3 linked regions of the Stegostoma tigrinum genome follow. The protein of the gene in region 2 interacts with the protein of the main gene of each other region in a pairwise test. Links are inferred from orthologs where the notes say so. Each region holds a gene or a part of one and is shown on either strand. Other genes may lie near its edges. The genes, in order: cwf19l2, meox1 and endonuclease 8-like 2.

The links.
Region 1: the proteins of meox1 (region 2) and cwf19l2 interact in binary tests that used the Homo sapiens proteins (3 or more experiments, as listed by UniProt). The two-hybrid records come from large-scale screens. The link is inferred for Stegostoma tigrinum from reciprocal best matches to the Homo sapiens genes MEOX1 and CWF19L2.
Region 3: the proteins of meox1 (region 2) and endonuclease 8-like 2 interact in binary tests that used the Homo sapiens proteins (3 or more experiments, as listed by UniProt). The two-hybrid records come from large-scale screens. The link is inferred for Stegostoma tigrinum from reciprocal best matches to the Homo sapiens genes MEOX1 and NEIL2.

What each region holds. Positions count from the first base shown.
Region 1 is NC_081359.1:69,860,840-69,868,318, reverse strand, and holds the start of cwf19l2 (CWF19-like protein 2), read left to right. Parts: upstream 1-4,402; 5' UTR 4,403-4,408; coding exon 4,409-4,501; intron 4,502-7,479.
Region 2 is NC_081384.1:16,804,147-16,811,068, forward strand, and holds the start of meox1 (homeobox protein MOX-1), read right to left. Parts: upstream 3,047-6,922; 5' UTR 2,871-3,046; coding exon 2,387-2,870; intron 1-2,386. UniProt on the Homo sapiens protein: Mesodermal transcription factor that plays a key role in somitogenesis and is specifically required for sclerotome development. Required for maintenance of the sclerotome polarity and formation of the cranio-cervical joints.
Region 3 is NC_081362.1:98,889,194-98,897,121, reverse strand, and holds the start of endonuclease 8-like 2, read left to right. Parts: upstream 1-4,880; 5' UTR 4,881-5,140; coding exon 5,141-5,278; intron 5,279-6,258; coding exon 6,259-6,608; intron 6,609-7,576; coding exon 7,577-7,773; intron 7,774-7,928. UniProt on the Homo sapiens protein: Involved in base excision repair of DNA damaged by oxidation or by mutagenic agents. Has DNA glycosylase activity towards 5-hydroxyuracil and other oxidized derivatives of cytosine with a preference for mismatched double-stranded DNA (DNA bubbles).

The sequences.
Region 1 (7,479 bases), on a different chromosome or scaffold from region 2:
AGAGGTGACCAGCTGTGTAGAAGAGGGCAATGCATTCTAATGCAGCCAATTTGGAATGGCAAGGCTTTTGACAAAGTTGCAAATGAGAGACCGATCGTGAAGGTAAGAACCCATGGCATCCAAAGAAATTTGGCAAGTTGGTTTCAGGATTGGTTTAGTGATAGGAAGGAGAGGGTGGTGGTTGAGGGCTGTGTTTGAGACTGGAAGTCTGTTTCCAGTGGGGTGAATGGGCTAACCTTAGGTTATAGGAGGATATAGACAGGCTGATTGGTGGCAAATGTAATCCAATCTGGATAAGTTTGAAGTGATGCACCTGGACATGATGAATGGTAGTACCCTGGGAAGTACCAAGGATCGGGGCACCCTGCAGAGCATGTACAGTGGTAGCAGGACAAGTAGCTAGAGTGGTTGAGAAGGCAGATGGGATTATGCCATTATTAGAATTTTTTGATGTGTACTCAAGTAAAACATACAGTGAAAAGTGTACAAAGTCACCCTTCTCCAGTGGCATCTTGGTTACAAAACCAGAATTTAAAAAGAAAACATTGGCAGAAATAAAAGAATGTTAAAAATTTAAATCTTATCTCCATACAAGTGTTTGGATCCACTTGGACCCACCTGGGCCTAGCTACTGCCTGGAATTTTGGTCAGCTTGTGAACCTTGCATCATTCACCAGAAGGAGTCATGTCTTTGCAGCTCCTCCCAGTGATCAGAGGAAGCAATCACTACCTCCTGCTGCCAACTCAGACCACCAGGAGGCTGCTGCAATTCTGCGTGAGTCCTGCTGCCATGCCAGTATTGCCAATTAAACTGCAGCAGAAGCCTCAACAAGAGAATGCACAAATAATTGTCACAATCCCGTCACTCGTGTAGCCTACTGTCTATATCTGGAACAACTTTGTGCATTCTGGAATATTAGCATACTCCAAACCTCAGAAAAGTAAGGGTTTTGTAACTCCCTGTTTGATCGTGATGAGATCCCATGGGCTGGATAGGTCAAAGTGTGACCCAAAGGAACAAGTGTAAGCATCACCCTGTACGTCACAGAGAGATCCGACATCAGACAAGGCATGAACGTTAAGAGGGGGGAGGTTAGCTGAAACTATATAAAGCATAAAGCCATAGCTAGAGTATTGTGTGCAGTTCTAGAGTACACATTATGAGGGATATGATTGTATTGTAGAGTGTGCAGGGGAGGTTTAACAAAACGTTGCCTAGGAGGAAAAGTCTGAGTAATGAGGACAGGCTGGGTTTATTTTCCTTGGAGCAGAGGAGGCTGAGGGCATTGCGGTTCTGATTCAGATATGCAAAATATAAAACACACAGTAGATAGGTTTTTCTAAGGATGGCAAATTCCCTAGTGTCTTTTGTCAGTTAGCTACTGGCAACTAGGGTGTGATCATAATAGTTGCAAACCCAGTCACAACATGACACAAAGGTGGCAGTTACCAATTAGCTGTTGGTCGTGTGTTTTTAGGTATGCCTGAACAGCTCTCTGTTGGACAGTCTCTGCACACCATAACAGGGGAAGAAACTCGAAATAATGCTGTAAATCCTCATTCCAAACCTGGCAGGAAAATTTTATTCAACAGGTGTACAGAATGTTGGAAAGCCTTTCTCTCCACATCTCTGTACAGATGCTGCTGGTCCTGATGAGTTTATGCAGTAATATTTTGTTTCAGGGTTTTTCTTAGAGTCTACTTGTCAGGGGCTCTGTACGGTCCTGATGTGCACCTCCTAGCTATGCTTCAGAAGCAACTACCTGCCAATTTTTAAGAGATAATGGGAACTGCAGATGCTGGAGATTCCAAGATAATCAAGTGTGAAGCTGGATGAACACAGCAAACCAAGCAGCATCTCAGGAGCATAAAAGCTGACATTTTGGGCCTAGACCCTTCGTCGGAGAGGGTTTTGGAATAAATAGGGAGAGAGGGGGAGGTGGACCAAAGATGGAGAGAAAAGAAAATAGGTGGAGAGGAGAGTATAGGTGGGGAGGTAGGGAGGGGATAGGTCAGTCCAGGGAAGACGGACAGGTCAAGGAGGTGGGATGCGGTTAGTAGGTAGGAAATGGAGGTGCGGCTCGAGGTGGGAGGAAGGGATGGGTGAGAAGAAGAACTTCCAATTCCCTGGCCCCCAACACCTCATTTTCACCATGGACATCCAGTCCCTATACACCTGCATTCCTCATGCAGATGGCCTCAAGGCCCTCCGCTTCTTCCTGTCCCACAGGCCCGACCAGTCCCCTCCACCGACACCCTCATCCGCCTAGCCGAACTCGTCCTCACCCTCAACAACTTCTCTTTCGATTCCTCCCACTTCCTACAAAGGGGGTGGCCATTGGTACCTGCATGGGCCCAAGCTATGTCTGCCTCTTTGTAGGTTACGTGGAACAGTCCCTCTTCCGCACCTACACAGGCCCCAAACCCCACCTCTTTCCTCTGTTACATTGATGACTGTATCGGCGCCGCCTCTTGTTCCCCAGAGGAACTCGAACAGTTCATCCACTTCACCAACACCTTCCACCCCAACCTCAAGTTCAACTGGGCCATCTCCAACACATCCCTCACCTTCCTGGACCCCTCAGTCTCCATCTCAGGTAACCAGCTAGAAACTGATGTCCATTTCAAGCCCACTGACTCCCACAGCTACCTAGAATACACCTCCTCCCACCCACCTTCCTCCAAAAATTCCATCCCCTATTCCCAATTCCTCCGCATCTGCTCCCAGGATGAGACATGCCACTCCCGCACATCCCAGATGTACAAGTTCTTCAAGGACCGCAACTTTCCCCCCATAGTGATCGAGAATGCCCTTGACGGCGTCTCCCGCAACACATCCCTCACACCCCGCCCCCGCCACAACCACCCCAAGAGGATCCCCCTCGTTCTCACACACCACCCCACCAACCTCCGGATACAACGCATCATCCTCCGACACTTCTGCCATCTACAATCCAACCCCACCACCCAAGACATTTTTCCACCCCCACCCTTGTCTGCTTTCCGGAGAGAACACTCTCTCTCTGACTCCCTTGTTTGCTCCACACTCCCCTCCAACCCCACCAAACCCGGCACCTTCCCCTGCAACCGCAGGAAGTGCTACACTTGCCCCCTCACCCCCTCCCTCACCCCCATCCGAGGCCCCAAGATAACTTTCCACATTCAGCAGAGGTTCACCTGCACATCTGCCAATGTGGTATACTGCATCCACTGTACCCGGTGCGGCTTCCTCTACATTGGGGAAACCAAGCGGAGGCTTGGGGACCGCTTTGCAGAACACCTCCGCTCAGTTCGCAATAAACAACTGCCCCTCCCAGTCGCGAACCATTTTAACTCCCCCTCCCATTCTTTCGACGACATGTCCATCATGGGCCTCCTGCAGTGCCACAAGGATGCCACCCGAAGGTTGCAGGAACAGCAACTCATATTCCGCTTGGGAAGCCTGCAGCCCAATGGTATCAATGTGGACTTCACCAGCTTCAAAATCTCCCCTTCCCCAACTGCATCCCAAAACTAGCCCAGTTTGTCCCCTCCCCCCACTGCATCACACAACCAGCCCAGCTCATCCCCTTCCTCCACTGCATCCCAGAACCAGCCCAGCCTGTCTCTGCCTCCCTAACCTGTTCTTCCTCTCACCCATCCCTTCCTCCGACCTCAAGCCGCACCTCCATCTCCTACCTACTAACCTCATCCCACCTCCTTGACCTGTCTGTCTTCCCTGGACTGACCTATCCCCTCCCCACCTACACTCTCCTTTCCACCTATCTTCTTTTCTCTCCATCTTCAGTCCGCCTCTCCTTCTCTCCCTATTTATTCCAGAACCCTCTCCCCATCCCCCTCTCTGATGAAGGGTCTAGGCCCGAAACGTCAGCTTTTGTGCTCCTGAGATGCTGCTTGGCCTGCTGTGTTCATCCAGCTCCACACTTTGTTATCTGCCAATTTTTAAGTTTTGCTTATTATTCCTCAGTTGACACTAAACTGTAGATTTTAAAATCTGACAAAATTTGACTTTTCTTTTGCACTAGCATATATTTTGATACTAGAAATGAACGTTTATATCCAATTAAAACCGAAAGAACTGAGGATGCTGTAAATCAGAAACAAAAACATAAGTTGCTGGAAAAGGTCAGCAGGTCTGGCAATATTTGTGAAGGAAAAAAAATCAGTGTTAACGTTTCGGGTTCAGTGGCCTTTCCTCAGAACGCTCTGACTATTTTTCACAGATGCTGCCAGACCTGCTGAGCTTTTCCAATAACTTCTGTTTTTGTTTATATCTAATTCTCGTATAAACAACTGAAAAGGAGAAGAAAGCAACAATTCTTCCAAGTGTGCGCGCGCAGCTTCCGGGACACCGGCGAATCTTCACGACGGCTGTCGTAAAAGTTCTTGTTGCTAAGGTAAAGGCAAGATGGCGGAATACGGAGGCAGGTTTGAAAGTGCGAAAGCAATCGAGGAACGAAGAGAATTTAAACGAAAAGCGAGAGAGGAAATTGTGACCAAGGTATTGTCTCAGTTCTGTCTATTTGTTTGCATCAGCCGTGACCAGGACGCAGACGATCTAACACTTTTAACCGAGCCCCCTCCCCATCACCCATAGTAAACACAGCGAGAGGCCAAATAGCTTACGGCGTTGTTGACAGCCCGAGGAATGTCAACTTCGCAAGGGTTGGGTGAATTCACTTATAAAGTTAACCTTTACTGTTTGTATTTAATTAGTTTATTCGTGTCAATTAAAAAGTGCTGGGGTGTCCTTATTTTTAGTTTATAGATATGGCTTGGATGAAGGGATTGAAGATATAGCTGCTAAATTTAAAAATAATTAGTAATGCAAGTTGTAAAGTGCTCGTAAGGAGGCTGCCAAATGTTGTAGACTCCAATGAATGGGCAAGGATCTGGCAAACGGAGTATAACGTGCGGAAATACAAAATTGTCGATTTTGGCAGGAAGAATAAAAAAGCATATTGTCTAAGCAGTAAGAGATTGCTGAACTCTTAGGTTTGGAGGGATCTAAGCGTCCAAGTGCATGAGTTGCAAAATATTATTGAGCGGGTGCAACAACTAAGTAGGATAACAAGAAAATGTTATTATTTATTGTTAGGGGAATTGAATATAAACGTTGGTAGATTATACTTCAGTTATGTGGAGCATTGGTGAGTATACATTTGGAGTCCTTTGTACAGTATTAGTTTCCTTTTTAAGGAAGGAGGTAAAAGCACCCTTGCTAAACTCATATCTGGAATGGACAAATTGTCTTCTGAGGAAATATTGGGACAGGCTAGGCTTGATTTTGCAGGAGTTAGAAGAGTAAGATGCACTTGGTTGAAATATTCAGGATCCTGAGGGTCTTGACAGATTGCAGGTGAAAAGGTTGTTTCTTCTTTGTAAGCAAAGTGACTCATAGATCTAACTATCTTAAAAATAAGGGGTCACCTATTTTGGGCAGATAAGATTTTTTTGCGGGTTATGAGTTTTTGGATCCCAAAATGTTGTGGAAGCAGAGCCCTTGAATATTTTTAAGGTAAAGGTAGACAAGTTCTTGGTGAACAAGTGGGTGAAAGGCTGTTGTGTGTAGACAGGAATGTGGAGTGATCCAATCTGCCATGATTTTATTGAATGGAATCTAGGATTGAGGGGCTTAAAGGCTTACTGTTGCCTCAGTTCATATGTTTACATATCCCTCACAGCCCTTGACTCCCTTGTCTATCAAGAATCTGTCTAACTCTACCTTGAACATAGTGACCCCACTGCTCTGTGGAAGGGAATTTCAAAGATTAAGAATCCTCAGAGAAGATTTGCTGCTCATCTCTGTCACAAATGGATGACATCTAATTTTGAACGTACTTGTTTGAATTCTAAATTCTCATGTGAGCGCAAAAGAAAATCCTCTTAACATCTGCCCTGTTAAGCTCCCTCAGAATCATTGTGCTTTTCTGAACTGCTTGTAATGCAGGTATATCTTACCTTGTGTAAGGGAACAAAACTATAGAGTATTTCAGGTGTGAACTTCTCAGTGCCCTAATTCTAACCTTCATTCCCTTTCCAACAAAGGCCCACCCTCTACACGCCATCCTATGTACTTGATGATTTGGAGGCGAGGTGGTGAATGGCCTGCTCCTAATTTTGCATGTTCTCATGTGCATATCTTCAGCAGGAAAAATATTATAGGAGGAAAGGAAAACTGAAGTAAAATCTAAATATTTTGTACTTTGGCCCTTTTTAAGTAAAGCTGTTTTCTGTGCATTCCTCGCATTCGCGATGAAATAAATTGTTATGTGAGTTGGTGAAGCATAGTGGCAAGATATTGCAGCACTTGATCAAGATTTCAGCCTTGTTAATTCATCTGAATTCAAGTCAGAAGTTAAAATTGGTAGCTTTTTGTAAAAAAAATTAGTATTTTACAACAATATACACGTATTCGTAGAAACAGGAAATGGTTATAGCACCAAAGGAGACCATTTGCCTTCCTAAGTCTGCACAGGAAAGATCACCTAGCTCAATTCCCTTGCTCTTTTTTCTTTAACACTGCAAATCATTTATTGTCAGTTGTTTATCTAGTTTCATTTTGAAAGGCCTAATCTGTTTGGCTGCACAACACACTAAGGCAGTTCATTTTAGATCCTAATATTCGCCTTTATGTAAGAAAACTATATGCTCCAGGAGATGGTGCCAGTTAATCAAAAATGCCTGTAAAGGAGGTGTTATATTTATAGATAGAACACCATGCAATTTGACAAGTGGAAGCTTTTAATGGTGTGCTCATGAGAGTTTAGAGGAACTCTGTTCCTATTAGAGTGGAGGGCAAAGCTGATAAGAGTAGGGGTCAATGGATGAATAAAGATATTGAGGTTCTGGTTAAGAATAAGAGTCGTACATTAGATATGGGCAGCTGGGATCTAATGAATGCCTTGAAGAGTATAAAGAGTGTAGAGTCATTCTTGAGAGGGAAATCAGGAGGGCAAAAAGAGAAGGGGCCATGGGAACTGCAGATGCTGGGGAATCTGAGATAACAAGGAGTAGAGCTGGATGAATACAGCAGGCCAAGCAGCATCAGAGGTGCAGGAAGGCTGAAGAAGGGTATAGGCCCAAAATGTCAGCCTTGCTGCTTCTCTGATGCTGCTTGGTCTGCTGTGTTCATCCAGCTCTACACCTTGTTATCTCGGGCAAAAAGATCATATGTGATAGCCTAGGCAGATAAGTTTAAGGATAATCTGAAGAGAGTCTGCAAGTATGTTAACAGCAAAAGCTAGGGAGTGAATCAAGCCCCATAATGATCAATAAAGCTATCTATATGTTGAACCTCAGGAGATGGAAGAGATACTGAATGAAGATTTCGCAATAGTTCTTACTATTGAGAAAGGAATGGAGGCTAGAGAATTTGGGAAATAAATAGTGATGTTTTGAAAAAAATTCACATTACAGAAGAGGAAGTGCTGGGGCCTTAGAAAATACAAATGTGGATAAATCTCCAGGACCTAATCA
Region 2 (6,922 bases):
ATACAAAAATGACTGTGTTTTCTAAAAACTATGAATGCTCGCAACACTAGTCAATCACCAAAGCTGAACTGGTTACAATGAAAATACATTATTCAAGCATATTTCCCACTTACAACTGAAGTAGAATGTATCAAATAAAACAATTGTATCTGGTGAAGGGCTACCTAGAACACTTGCATCACTTTCACTCCTCAAAAAACTTGCAAACTTTTAGAAAATTTCTAAAATTCCAAATAATCAAGCTTAGACATTATTAATTTTGTGAAACAAAATTACAAAAATGTTAAAATTAATGAGCAAAAACATTGACTCCAAGTTACAGAAAACAAGCACAAATCAAATTAGAATAAGAAGTTATTTTCTTTCATTGCATAAATCATTTAAATTTTCTGAAATTAAAATAATTTTGAATCATTTTGAATTTGGAAAGCTTCCCTCCTCCAAATCAGAAAGTTCAATGAGTTTTTTTTAAATGTTGGTATTTTAGGTGATATGGAATTAGATTTTCCTTGAATGATGTCTATATTTGAAATATTCATACATACTGCACTTACAATATCTCCAGTTCTACTGTATCACCATCTTTCAGCACTTTTCATTTAAGCCGTAAATATACTACTATCTAATGCAGTCCACCAAATCTCACAATTAACTTCATGGCATTTAATACTTGCAAGTGGTTGACTTAGATGTGTTTTATTTGTTAGGGTTTTTCATTAAATTACCATCTTCCTGATTCACTGTTTAAAACACATGAAACATTATAGTTTTAAAGAAAGACCAAAGTTGTAGGAACCATTATGCTAATGTTTGCCTTTCTGTATTTTCAAATGAAATTTGATTTATTTTCTTCAAAAAGTTATTTTGCATGTACATACTACATCACCCACTTAAAAGGTGAAGGTTAATACTAATTTTCAGGCATATCTGAAGCTAGAATATTAAATGGATGCCATCATTTTTTTCATAAATGAGTGCCCTACTATGCTCATTCTGTTCTCAATTTTAGGCTTAAGTTCTATTACATATTAGTACCTGGTACTCTTTAAAATACAAATTAAACTTTGATAATGCAAAACATATGCTGATTTTATGGAAGAAATTTTGGAATATTCTTTGTGCTAATGTGGATTATGTTCTTAAAAACTGCACAAGTATTGTTATAAGATTGAGAATAACTCAAAACATAGCAAATGGTGAAATACAGGAGTCGGTCATATGGTTGAAACGTAATCAGTGAGTTTAAGTGTCAAAAATGAGCAAGAAAGTTTGAATAATTTAACCAAACTGAACTGATATTGGATTTGAATATTTGCTTTCTCTATAGTTATCCATTTCAATACTTTCAGTAAACATTTGTCTTTTGAGAGAAGATTTGAAGGTGTTTCAGATGCCTATGTAACAGGTTCTGAGAATGATGTAAAACTACATGTTATCCACCTAACAGCTAGGAAAGCTGAGGTGCCACTCGCATCCTTTGTGCAGAACTGGTCCAAATCAAGTGATCTTAATGAATGGGATTTGACAACATACAACATGTATATTCAGTTTGGATATAAGGATACTGGTAACCTCCTGATCTTTTTTTTGTTTGCAATTGGGATGATTCCCTGTTTTGTACCTGATTAGGTACCAGTTGGTCCCATTATATCTCCTTATCAGCAATACTCTTGTTTTTGTTATTGAGAATTCTGAATGCACTTCGTTGTATTCGGATGAACTGGGATGGATGAAATGGTTGTCAGGTTAATGGACCAGGGACTAGTCATTTACTGCTCCAACTAACTGAGCTTTGGGGAACAGCTTTTCAATACTAATTCTACTGGTGAACGAAAGGGTAATTTCAAATGAGTGAAATTAGAAACGGCACTGAAATTAATTTTCATAATATTTCAATAACTATTGAAATGTAAGAAACCAGGCTAAAACATTTTTCTCTCATTTCATCTTGTTACAGATGCAACTTTTTTGCAGCTAATTAACTTTTTTTGACAGGTGTGGAAGACCCACAAATAAAGTTTTATCGTTTATAAACTGCATCACTGCAAATGTAATAACGCAGACTCAAAACTTTCAATGGTTTTGGAAAGAAGTCTATTTGGGATTGACCATTTCCTTTTAATTTTGGGCTAAAAAGTGGATTTGAGATCTGCCGTTTTGTTTTTGGTTTGTTGCGGGATTGGGACGAATATAATTCTTCAAAACAAATGAGAATTTGATGCAAGCGATGTTTTGTTATATAAAAAGAAACAAACTTTTACAAGAGTCCCCTGTAGGGTGGAACACACTGTATTTTACTTTGGAAAGCATGTTGCTGGAGTTTTTCTTTAAAAAAGAATCGATATTTAATTTCATGCTTTATTGGGAATAACAATGTGTCTCTCACCTAAAACGTCGCGTTTCCTTTTGGTTACTTTCTTGTCGATGTCGGACGCCGCGATACCCCGCGGGCTACTGTAATCCCCAGCGCTAAGGCAGCCGGCCGCTTGCGAGTTCCCACCGGTTTCGAAATTGGCGGAGCTGGCGGACAGGCAGGAAGTTTGTCTCTCCCTGGCCGCCGTCGGGGCGGGAGGGGGTGGGGCCGGCGGCGGCGGAAGGTGCCACTCGGAGCGGGGGAACCTGGGCGGGTGGTGGTCCACGTAAACGCGGTCCTCTGCGGGGAAGCCGTGCGCCGCTGACACCAGGCACGGCGACGTGAATTCCGAGTAGGCGGTGAAGTCGGCGGGGTCGGACTTCTTGTAGAAGGAGAAAGGCGACGGGTAATGGTGCAGGCCGGGCACGCCGGCCCCGGAATGTGGATTTCTCATACAGCCCCAGACGGTGGCCCCGGAATGCGAATTGCGCATGCAGCTGCCTGTGCTCTGTTCCATGGAGAAGTTGCAAGATGCTCTGTGCACCAGAAAGTGCTTTAAATCCTACAACTCTGCAAAAAAACAAAAATGCAACGATCTTAGCCACTTCAAACCTTCAATTAGCAATTTGCAAAGATCACAAGTTTTTCCTTTTTAAAAAAAAACAAATTGCTGACATGCCTGCACTCTATGAGCCTGACTCCCTCTGAGTGCTTTGGTGGGAAAAGTGACAAGTTTATAGTGTGTAATGTGAGAGGGGCGGGGTTGAGCACCACATGTTGGATTACTCCAACCAAGGAAAACATTGCTGCGATTAATCACGAGCATTACTGTATGCGCAGAAATTTTATATGCACAACTTAATGGCTTTTTCAGACCAGGGACATCACAGACATTTGAAAGCCAGACAGCAGTGTCCCTCCCCAGGTTGTTTTTTTGTGGGGGAAAAAGACGCACATGAACACGTTTGATACAATTTAGAACTGTATCTCAGGAATAGCCTTTGCCTCTCGAACAGTCCAGGGCAGCCACAACACGCACCAATTTTTGGAATAATTCACGTAAAGGTTAAAGTTAAGCACAGCCAAAGTGGGGTAGAAATCATAATGTTAAGCTTCTTTACAATACTCTATTGGGCTGAATAACCTACCTCTGCTCCAATGTTTTATGCTTTAAAGGTTCAGATGATGCCAGTGACTGCATTGAGCTATATTTGTTCAGTGGGTTTACAAAGGTCATGCAACCCTGAGAATCTTCAAAGCGCAAGTATTAAACTTTTTATTCTGTCTGTTCTAGGATGCATAATTTTAATCAAAATAATGTTAGCAAAAACATAGTACTTTTATGTAGTGCCCTTATAACATAGAATAACTTTACAAGGTGCTTCACAAGGACATAATCAGTTGATACTAAGCTAGAAAAGAGCAATGAAGATCAATGGCCAAAATCTGGATGGAAAGGTCTTCAAAAGAAAGAGAGAGAGGAATCATAGAATAGAATCCCTACAGTGTGGGAGCAGGCCATTTGGCCCACTGACTCTCTGAAGAGCATTGCAACCAGACTTATCCCCCTACCCTATCACTGTACCCTGCACTCCCCATGGCTAGGCCACCCAACTGACACATCCCTGGACATCACAGCACGGCCAATTCACCTAAACTGCACATCTTTGGACTGTGGGAGGAAACTAGAGGAAGCCCGCACAGACATGGGGTGAATGTGCAAACCCCACACAGACAGTTGCCTGAGGGTGGGATCGAATCTGGGACGCTGGAGCTGTGAGACGGCAGTGCTAACCAATGAGCTACAGCGCCGCCCCTGCTGAGATGGCTTAAGGCACAGAGAAGTGATACTACATTCAAAGAAGTAAGGGAGGGATGTATATTGTGCCAGAATTGAATGAATGCATGGTTTTTAGAAGGTTTGAGGAGGTTACAGACTTTATTTTCATTCATACGATGTGGTGTAGCAGGCTGGGTCCATCCCTAATTGAACTGAGTCATTCACTCAGCCATTTCAGAGGGCATGGAAGAGTAAACCATATTATAGTGGATCTTGCATCATATATAGGCCAGACTGGGTCTAAACTAGAGGGCAGGGGTTTAAGCTGAGAGGGGAAAGATTTAAAAAGGACCTGAAGAGTAACTTTTCACACACAGGATGGTGCATATATGGAACACATCACCAAAGGAAGTGGCAGAGGTGGGTACATTACAAAATTTAAAAAGGCATCTGGATGGGTACATGAATAGGAAGGATTTAGAGGGATATGGCCCAAATGAGACTAGGTTAGACTGAGATATCTAATTGGTGCAGAGAAGTTGAACCAAAGGGCCTGTTTCCATGCTATATAATTCTATGATAGTAGTTTCCTTCCCTAATAAGCATAGAGTGTACTAGATGGGAGTTTTCAACAACAGTTTCATGGTCAAATTAGGTTTCTAATTCCAAATTTTGATTTATTTTCAAATTCAGATTGCACCATTACCAGGGCAGGATTTGAACCCATGTCCACAGGACATGACCTGGGTCTCTGGATTAGTAGTCGAGTAATAATATCACTAGTCTATTACCTCCCCTTGTCAGAGAGGTGCAGAGTCATAAAGGAACTAAAGTATAACAATGTGAAACTAAAATAAATAGGGATGCTGAAAATCCTATTTAAAAAGACGCACATGAACACGTCAGAAATTGCTGGAAAAACTCAGCAGGTCTGAGAACAGTTCTGAACAAGGGTCACTGGACCCAAAAGGTTAACTCTGATTTCTCTCCGCTATGCTCAGACCTGCTTCATTTTTCCAGCAATTTCTGTTTTTGTTTATAAGTTTGGGAATTTTAAACATTGGTTGATCAGGAGCTAACATATTTTGGGCATGGCTGATGGGTGAACAGGACTGAGCATGAGCAAGAGAAAACATAAGAAGCATTTGTTATTTACATGACTATATCTTGTAGCTATATCATTGCAAAAAAATGTCATTTTTTTTCTTTATCAGGAAACTAGTCAGCAGAGATTGTCGCTATATTTTATGAATATTAAAATATGAATTTACAGGAATTGTTTTATATTAGACTATGGGTTTATTTACTGTTATGGTAAATTTCAAAAACCTTATACAGTGTTTTTGACCCACGGTCCTTTACCTGTATTCGTCATTTTAAATTTCAGACCTTGTGAAGAGAAGAAGAATAAAGTTACATTGGTTACATAACATGTGTTGAGCTGGAAGTATCCTGCAGTCTGTAATTAATAAAACCCAACAGTGACTTTTAATTGCTCAATTACAAAGGCGCAGACCTCCAAGCGGTAGATCTAGCCTTTTGAAACTTCAAGATTTCACAGAGCCAATTATTGCGCATGAATTTTAAGGACCCAATGTATCAATAAAGTGGAGTTTGACAACTTTTATTGATTTTATTAGGCAAGACAGAAAATGACAAAAGAAATGTTACCTACTTTTAGAATCACTACCATGAAAATAACCCACAAATGTGCTAGCAATGTTTCCCCAACTAAAATGGAAGTTTTATTAGGATGTTTAAGAAAATATCTTTCCATTGAGTTATCAATTATTTCAGATGAAATTGGCGGTTGTGGAAAGATTTTTAAGAGTAGAAGATTGAGTGTCAACTTTTAAAAACCAAATATCTACAGAGATCTCAAAGGCAACAATCATGAAAATTAGGTTGTTCTAAGCATCTTGGGACTGAGTCAGTTTGAAACTGTGCCTGTATGAGACCATTACTCTAACCTCTTGACTTTCTTATGTTGAAAATAGAGGATCCAAAAGGCTCACTTTTATGGCTGCATTTGTGCCTGACCGTTGATGGCTCTGCATGCTGATGATTAGCTTCTAAGAGTTAAGTGCCTTAAAGGAGTGGAGATGTGTGTTTGTGTTGGGACGGTCTTTCTTGTGGGAGACATTTTGTCACATTTATATGTAAAGGACTGGGTAGAAACAACTTGCAAAGTGGCATGTCACTGTATATCGTATGGCATCTGATGACACAATATCATTTTACAGGTTAACTAAAATATTATTAAAATAACTATAAGAATATTGTTTCATGCACCACTACAGGCGACAGAGGTATCATAGTTGACATGCCAACATTCCTAGGTGTCCACCCCATTGATGATGCATTAAATTTTCAGTGAATAGTCCTGGAACACAGCCTCCCCTGAATTTTGATGACACAGCCCTTTTAAAATTGATTTAAACTAAAATCAAATTTCTACAGGCACTAGTCTTTTATGCAGTGGAAAGAAACCAAATAATAGTGCTGTTATCATAAAAAGAATGTACATCCAATAATGCAGAATAGCTCCTTTAAATCCTATGTTTTGTCTTTCTTAATCAATTTACATTGTAATCGTCCAAATTCAGAGTATTGCCTCTTGGTTAATTGCACAATCGCAGTCACCTTTTATACACAGAGCCCATTTACCATAAAGAAACGATGTAATTGGCAAATGTAATAGACTACTTTGTCTCAGAAAGGTAGTTGTCAATGCCATGCAGATTTATGTTGAACTGTACAGATTTTAAATTACTCAAGCAAGAGGAAAC
Region 3 (7,928 bases), on a different chromosome or scaffold from region 2:
CTGTTCCTACTATCTCTGTAGAAATTAATGAATTATTTTCACATTAGCAGGCAGTAACTAGTGGGGTGCCACAGGGATCAGTGCTGGTGTCAGGCTCGTTTTCAGAGACCCTCACGGACTTGCTGCAATAACAAGACACTGACCTGTTTGGAAAAACACAAATCCTTTTATTACCAAGCAAGTACAAGCTGTGGAGAATCACGGTACTCGACCCGGCACAGAGTACAGAGTCTCGCAAGTAATTCTCTCCGAGCAGCGGACAGTCCCCGCTTTTTATACTTTACAAAAGACATGATACATAAAACGATTTCATAATTTACAATGGCATGATACATAAAACAATTACTACAACAGACAAAAACAGGATACCAAACAATTATTCCATCAACAAAATAAAAGACCAGGATATAGTATTGATTGCTAGTGAAGTAGCTGCTAATGGCAGGAGGCGATTTTGAGTTGTGAGTTCAAGTTGCCAGTGTGTCTGGCTAGAACAGTCAGTGCCCTGGCCCCTTTGTCAGCAACAGAAGTTACATGCTTTAGAGGTTTCACGCCTTTACAAATTTTCCCCACCTAACCCATTTGAAACAGTTTGATTCTAATTTTAATTCAGTCAGGAAGCTTAAGACAGTGTCTGCGTACCGATGTGTGAGAAGACAAGGAGTTACAAAAGCTTTACACTGAATTCCTAGCTAGGCAGGAAGCTTCAGGGCAGTGCCTGCATACCGATGTGTAGGTAGATAAAAGACTTTACTTCTATAAATTAAAGTCTCTGTATAGGAATAAAATGCAGATAAAAGACTTGAATTTATAAAAGTATAGAAATCAATGGCATGTATTCACATTAACATCTCACTGGGACCCCAGCTATTCATAATATATATGAATAATTTGGATAAGGGAACAAAGTGTAACATCTCCAAGCTTGCAAATGATACGAAGTTGGGTGGGTGGGTAGGGGGTGGTGGCGGGGACTTGCTGAGGATACAGAAATCCATCAGCATGATCACTACAGGTTGGGTGAGTGGGCAAATCGATGAAAGATAGCATATATTTTGGATAAATGTGAGATTATTCACTTCAGAAGCAAAAACAAGGTGGCAGATTACTACCTGAATGGCTGTAAATTGGGAGAGGGGAGCGCGCAGCGGGACCCAGGTGTCCTTGTGCACCAGATGCTGAAGGTAAGCATGCAGGTGCAGCAGGCGGTAAAGACGGTAAATGGTATGTTGGCCTTCGTTGCGAGAGGTTGAGAGTACAGGAGCAGGGATTTGTTGTTGCAGTTATACGGGGCCTTGGTGACACTGTACCTAGAACATTATTTGGTATCCTTTTCTGAGGAAGGATGCTCTAGCTTTCGAGGGAGTGCAGTGAAGGTTTACCAGGCTGATTCTGGGGGTGATATATGAGGAGGGATTGACTAGGTTAGAATTGTTTTTGCTGGAGCTCAGATGAATGAGGGAGGAGTCTCATAGGGACGTATAAAATTCTAACAGGACTGGACAGAGTAGATGCAGGGAAGAAGTTCCCGATGGTGGGTGTGTCCAGAACCAGGGGTTACAGTCTGAGGATTTGTGGGAGACCATTTAGGATGGAGATGAGGAGACATTTCTTCACCCAAAGAGTGGTAAGTCTGTGGAATTCATTACCACAGGAAGTAGTTGATGCCAAAACATTGAATGTATTCCAGAGGTGACTAGATATAGCACTTGGAGGTGAATGGGATCAAAGGTTATGGAGAGAAAGCAAGATTAGGCTCTTGAGTTAGTCAATCAGCCATGATCATGAAGAATGGTGGAGTAGGCTTCAAGGGCTGAATGGCCTCCTCCTGCTCCTATCTTCTAGATTGGGACCCAAATCTACTCACAATATCCAAAGGCAGTGGCAGAGCCATATACAAATTCAGCAGTACATCTCTGCTCCTGTATTCTCGCCCTCTTGAAATGAATACTAACACTGCATTTGCATTTCTAACTGCCAACTGAAGCCACATATTCACCTTAGAGAAACCCAAACTAGGACTCCCAAGTACCTTTTCTGCTTCAGATTTCCAAAGTCTTTTCCCATTAAGAAAATAGTCTACACCTCTATCCTTCCTGACAAAATGTAAAGCTTCACAATTTATCACAATATATTCGATCTGCTGCTTCTTCTCCTATCCTGTCCAAGTCCTTCTGCGGTCTTTGACAGCATGAACTGCAGATGCTCGAGTCAAAATCAACACAGTGTGAATCTGGATGAACGCAGCAGGCCAGGCAGCATCAGAGGAGCAGGAAAGTCATTGTTTCAGGTCAGGACCTTTCTTCAGAAGTGGGGACGGGAAAGGGAGCTGGGAAATAAATAGAGGGAGGAGGGTTGGGGCTGGGGGAAGGTATGTGGGATGGTGATAGGTGAGTGCAGGTAGGACATGGTGGGGATTGGTCAGTAGGAAGGGTGGGGCAGATTGGTGGGGAGGAAGATGGACAGGTAGTGTCAGACCAAGGAGGCAGGAGGAGGGTGGGGCCGAGGAGAGGTAATTTGAATGGTAATAACCTGTCCAAGTCCTTCTGCACTCTTCCCGCTTCCTCAATACTACCTGTCTCTAACTCTTTTCATGTCATCTACCTGGCAATAATGTCCCCAGTTCCCTCATCCAGATTGTTAATGTGAACAGTTGTGATACTAACACTGACCCCTGTGGAACTCCACCAGTCACTGGTTGTTATCGTGAAAAAGATCCCTTTATCCCCACTCTCTGTTTTCTGCCAGGCAGCCAATCCTCTATCCATTCCAGTACCATGCCCCGAATGCCATGGGCTCTTTTTTTTATTTAGCAGCCTCCTGTTCAGTGCCTTGTCAAAGGCCTTCTAAAAATCCAAATTGATCACTTCCCCTGGTTCTCGTCTGTCTAACTTAAACATTATCTACTCAAAGAATTCTAGTAGATTTGTCAGACATGATCTCTTCTTGATAAAGCCATGCTGACTTAGATCTGTTTGACTGTGCTGTCCCAAGTACTGCACAGAACCCCAGGGAATATACATAAATGATCTGGAGGAAGGTGTAGATGGTCTGATCAGCAAGTTTGCAGATGACACTAAGTTTGGTGGGGTATCAGATAGTGAAGGACACTGTCAGAGAATGCAGCAGAATATAGATAGACTGGAGAGTTGGGCAGAAAAATGGCAGATGGAGTTCGATCCAGGCAAATGCGAGGTGATGCATTTTGGAAGATCTAATTCAAGAGCGAACTATGTGGTAAATAGAAAAGCCCCTGGGCAAAATTGATGGATAGAGAGATCTGGGTGTTCAGGTCCATTATACCCTGAAGGTGGCAACGGAGATCGATAGAGTGGTTAAGAAGGCATACGGCATGCTTTCATTCATCGGGCAGGGTATTGACTACAAGAGTTGGAATACTGTGTACAGTTCTGGTCGTCACATTACCAAAAGGATGTGGATGCTTTGGAGAGAGTGCAGAGGAGGTTCACCAGGATAATAGGAACTTCAGATGCTGGAAAATCCAAGATAATATAGTGTGTAGCTAGATGAACACAGCAGGCTAAACAGCATCTTAGGAGCTGGAAAGCTGATGTTTCGGGCCCAGATCCTTCATCAGAAATGGGGGAGGGGAAGAGGGTTCTGAATTAAATAGGGAGAGAGGGGGAGTTGGATTGAAGATGGATAGAGGAGAAGATTGGTGGAGAGGAGACATGATGAAGGAGACTCTGATGAAGGGTCTAGACCCGAAACGTCAGCTTTTGTGCTCCTGAGATGCTGCTTGGCCTGCTGTGTTCATCCAGCTTCACACTTTGTTATCTTGGATTCTCCAGCATCTGCAGTTTCCATTATTTCTGGAGAGGAGACAGACAGATTAAAGAGGCAGGGATGGAGCCAGTAAAGGTGAGTGTAGGCGGGGAGGTAGGGAGGGGATAGGTCAGTCCAGGGAAGACGGACATGTCAAGAGGGTAGGATGAGATTAGGAGGTGGGAAATGGCAGTGCGGCATGAGGTGGGAGGAGGGCATAGGTGAGAGGAAGAACAGGTTAGGGAGGTCGGTACGAGCTGGGCTGGTTTTGGGATGCAGTGGGGGGAGGGGAGATTTTGAAGCTTGTGAAATCCACATTGATACCATTGGGCTGCAGGGTTCCCAAGCGGAATATGAGTTGCTGTTCCTGCAACCTTCGGGTGGCATCATTGTGGCACTGCAGGATGTTGCCTGGTATGGCGGGCACTTGCTATGAAGAGAGTTTAAGTAGATTAGGATTATTTTCATTAGAAGATGGAGATTGAGGGGGGACCTAATTGAGGTCTACAAAATCATGAGAGGTGTAGACAGGTTGGATAGCAAGAAGCTATTTCCCCAGAGTGGGGGACTCAATTACTAGGGGTCACGATTTCAAGGTGAGAGGGGAAAGGTTTAAGGGAGATATGCGTGTAAAGTTCTTTATGCAGAGTGTGGTGGGTGCCTGGAACGCGTTGCCAGCAGAAGTGGTAGAGACAGGCATGATAGCGTCATTTAAGATGTACCTAGGCTGATACATGAATGGGCAGGGAGCAGAGGGATACAGATCCTTGGAAAATAGGTGACAGGTTTAGACAGAGGATCTCGATCGGCACAGGCTTGGAGGGCTGAAGGGCCTGTTCCTGTGCTGTAATTTTCTTTGTTCTTTGAAGAGGAACCACAAGGCAAGCACTCTGATGAGTCATCTACTCTTGAAATGATGGCTTGCTTGCTCTCTATGGATATTGTTTGACCTGCCATGACTTATGTTTTCAGCACAAGGGGAACAAACTCCCCTGAACCTGGGAGGATGGGCCACAGGGAGACCACACCCACTGGGGAAATGGCCTCAGGGAAACCACACCCCCTGGGAGGATGGGCCACGGGGAGACCACAATCCCCTGGGAGGAGGGTCCTCTCAGAATATACCATTCTGACAGCACTCTGTGATTGGTTTGCTTTTTGCATTTATTGTATGCCAATCCCCGTTGCCTGCCTTTTGTCTCATCCTTTGAGCCAAGTCAAAGCATTGAATTCTGGTGCTTGGTCAATTGTTTGCAGGTTTTCTGCTTGAAGACAAGTTGGGGATAGAGTCACTGTTGTTGAGGCCTTGTTCTGCAGACAGTACAGCGGAGTGATAGTTGTCTGTGTAAGGGAGATGCCGGAAGGCCCTTCAGTGAGAGTGTTTCATTCTGTGACCTCCCCTTTCGTTGGCAAAGTTGTGCAGAGAGCCTCGGGGAGCACCAGACAGGTGTGTCTGCAACAATTTGTGGGTCTCAGACTGCAGCACAGTGAAGTGAGTATGATTTGTTCCTTTCTTTTTGCACTTTGATCTTACTTCTCTTTCCATTTGTTTTATTATTTGTGTAGGGATTGTGGGTGTTGCTGGCTGAGCCAGTATTCATTGGCTGGCCCTAGGTGCACTTGAGAAGGTGATGGTGAACTGCCTTGAACCACTGCAGTCATTTTGGTGTAGGTTGCTATTAGTGAGAGAGTTCCAAGATTTTGTCCTAGTGACAGGAAAGGAATGGTGATATATTTCCAAGTCAGGACGGTGAGTGGCTTGGAGACGAACCTGTGGGGGTAGTGAGCCATGTACCTGCTACACCTGTCTTTCTCGATGGAAGTAGTTGTGGATTTGGACGTTGCTGCTGAAGGACCCCTATTGAATCACTGCAGTACGTCTTGTAGAGAGTGCACACTGCTCCTACTGAGTGTCATTGGCATCACATCCACAAACATTCACACCAACAACAGGGCTACTCTGTCCTGGAGTGTGTTGAGATCCTCGAGTGTTATTGGAGCTGCTCTATCCAGGCACATGGCGAGTATTCTATCACGCTACTGACCTGTGCTCTGTAGGTGGTGGACAGGCTTCGGGGTGTCGGTAGGTGAGTTACTTGCTATGGTATTCCTAGCCTCTGACCTGCTCTTGTAGTTCATCCAGCTCCACATCTTGTTATATCATATACTTATGTGGCTTGTGCAGTTGAGTTTCCGGTCAATAGTAACCCTGAGTGGTTAGATTGTGGGTTACTCTCTCACTTTGTTCCTCTCTCCCTTCCACCGTGACTCGTGCTTCATTTGTTGTTTGCTCTGTTTGGAACTTGCTGTGTTGTTTGTTTGGAATATCTCTGGTTTTGCTGGATATATGGTTAGTGTGCTCATTCCATCTAACTCACGGTCTTGGAATCTCTCTGTATGTCTAACACACTTGACTCCCAACACTGCCTTATGCTGTTTCTGATTAAAACTAAGTCTTTCTCTTTGGTTCAGGTCCATGGCAAAAATCTCTTCCTGGGCTTTGCTTCTGTTGGCCATAGACTGGAATCCAATTGTCCAAAACTAGGGATTGCACATGCCCAGAAGATGCCTGATCCAGCCTGGGTACCAGCACAGGGCTCCGCCAGCAAGCAACAAGTGATAGAGGGGGGCACCATGAGAAAAGAGCAGGAGGAGACTTGGGAAAGCAGTGCCCTGTCCTTGGGGCAAGACCAGTTGAACCATCAGCATGAAATGCAATGGCTGCGATTTCACTTTGGGATGTTTGGAAGTGTTCGGGCCAATGAGTTTTCACGGGCAAAAGGTGCCAATAAGAAGGGAGACTGGCAGGATCCATCACCAAGGTATGGTAAAAGCAAGTTGGTGAGAGAAATGGGGTTATCATCTAGGCTAATAAAACGTGAGGCTGGATGAACACAGCAGGCCCAGCAGCATCTCAGGAGCACAAAAGCTGACGTTTTGGGCCTAGACCCTTCATTAGAGAGGGGGATGGGGTGAGGGTTCTGGAATAAATAGGGAGAGAGGGGGAGGCAGACCGAAGATGGAGAGAAAAGAAGATAGGTGGAGAGGAGAGTATAGGTGAGGAGGTAGGGAGGGGATAGGTCAGTCCAGGGAAGACGGACAGGTCAAGGAGGTGGGATGAGGTTAGTAGGCAGGAAATGGAGGTGTGGCTAGAGCTGCCTTCAGAAATGGGGGGAGGGGAAGGGGGATCCCCCATTTCAGAAGAAGGGTCTAGGCCCAAAACATCAGCTTTCCTGCTCCTCTGATGCTGCTTGGCCTGCTGTGTTCATCCAGCTCTACACCTTGTTATCTAGGTATTTCTAGCCAGTTTTCTGTCATTTTTTTTTCTCCTCCCTCTTAATCATCGTTTGGCTGATATTTAATTAAAACTTTCTCAATCTACAAGTTTACAACCTTTGGTTCTTTTTAAATAAATACTGTTCTTAGAATTGCTGATGAACTTAATCTCTCTTCACCCCAGAGGGAGGTGGGCAGAGAGATGGGAGTTCAGGTCTGGATCAGGGTCAGACTATATTGTATTTTAATGAGAGTGATCCCCTTTTCATTGGGGAACTGCAAGCTCTCTGTGTTCAGACTAATAGGGAAAATCAGCTCTCACCCTGAGCACCCAGAGGGGCAACAGGCCACAGGACCCTTATCTGGTTTGAGGAAGTAAACAGAAGTCAGAGGACAGAATAGTGTGAATGAGGAGGTTGAAATTCTGAGTGGAGTTCTGTGAGGAGAGATGCTAATCATTCTCTTCACCTCTCTCTCTCTCTCTCTCTCTCTCTCTCTCTCTCTGTGTCAACAGGTTGGTGCTCTATTTCCCCGGAGAGCAGTTTCTTGTGTTCTATAACTGCCGGATCTGTCTCTGCAGCAGCCCTTCCTCTGGACATACCTCTGACATCCTGCACCCGAAGTTCGACAGGAATGTGGCACTACAGGCACTGAAACAAGCTCAGCCTGTCTGCTACACCCTGCTCAACCAACAGCTGTTCTCTGGCCTTGGTCAGTAACACATTCCAGACTATTAACAGATGGTGGTAGGAAAGTAGTTTGTGAAGGGAGAAGCTGGGCATGTTTGATATTTGTGTTTACTGTTTTACCTCGGTCAGGAGTTGATTGTTCCCACGTTCTTGTGCCTTTGCCGGGTACCCAGTTAT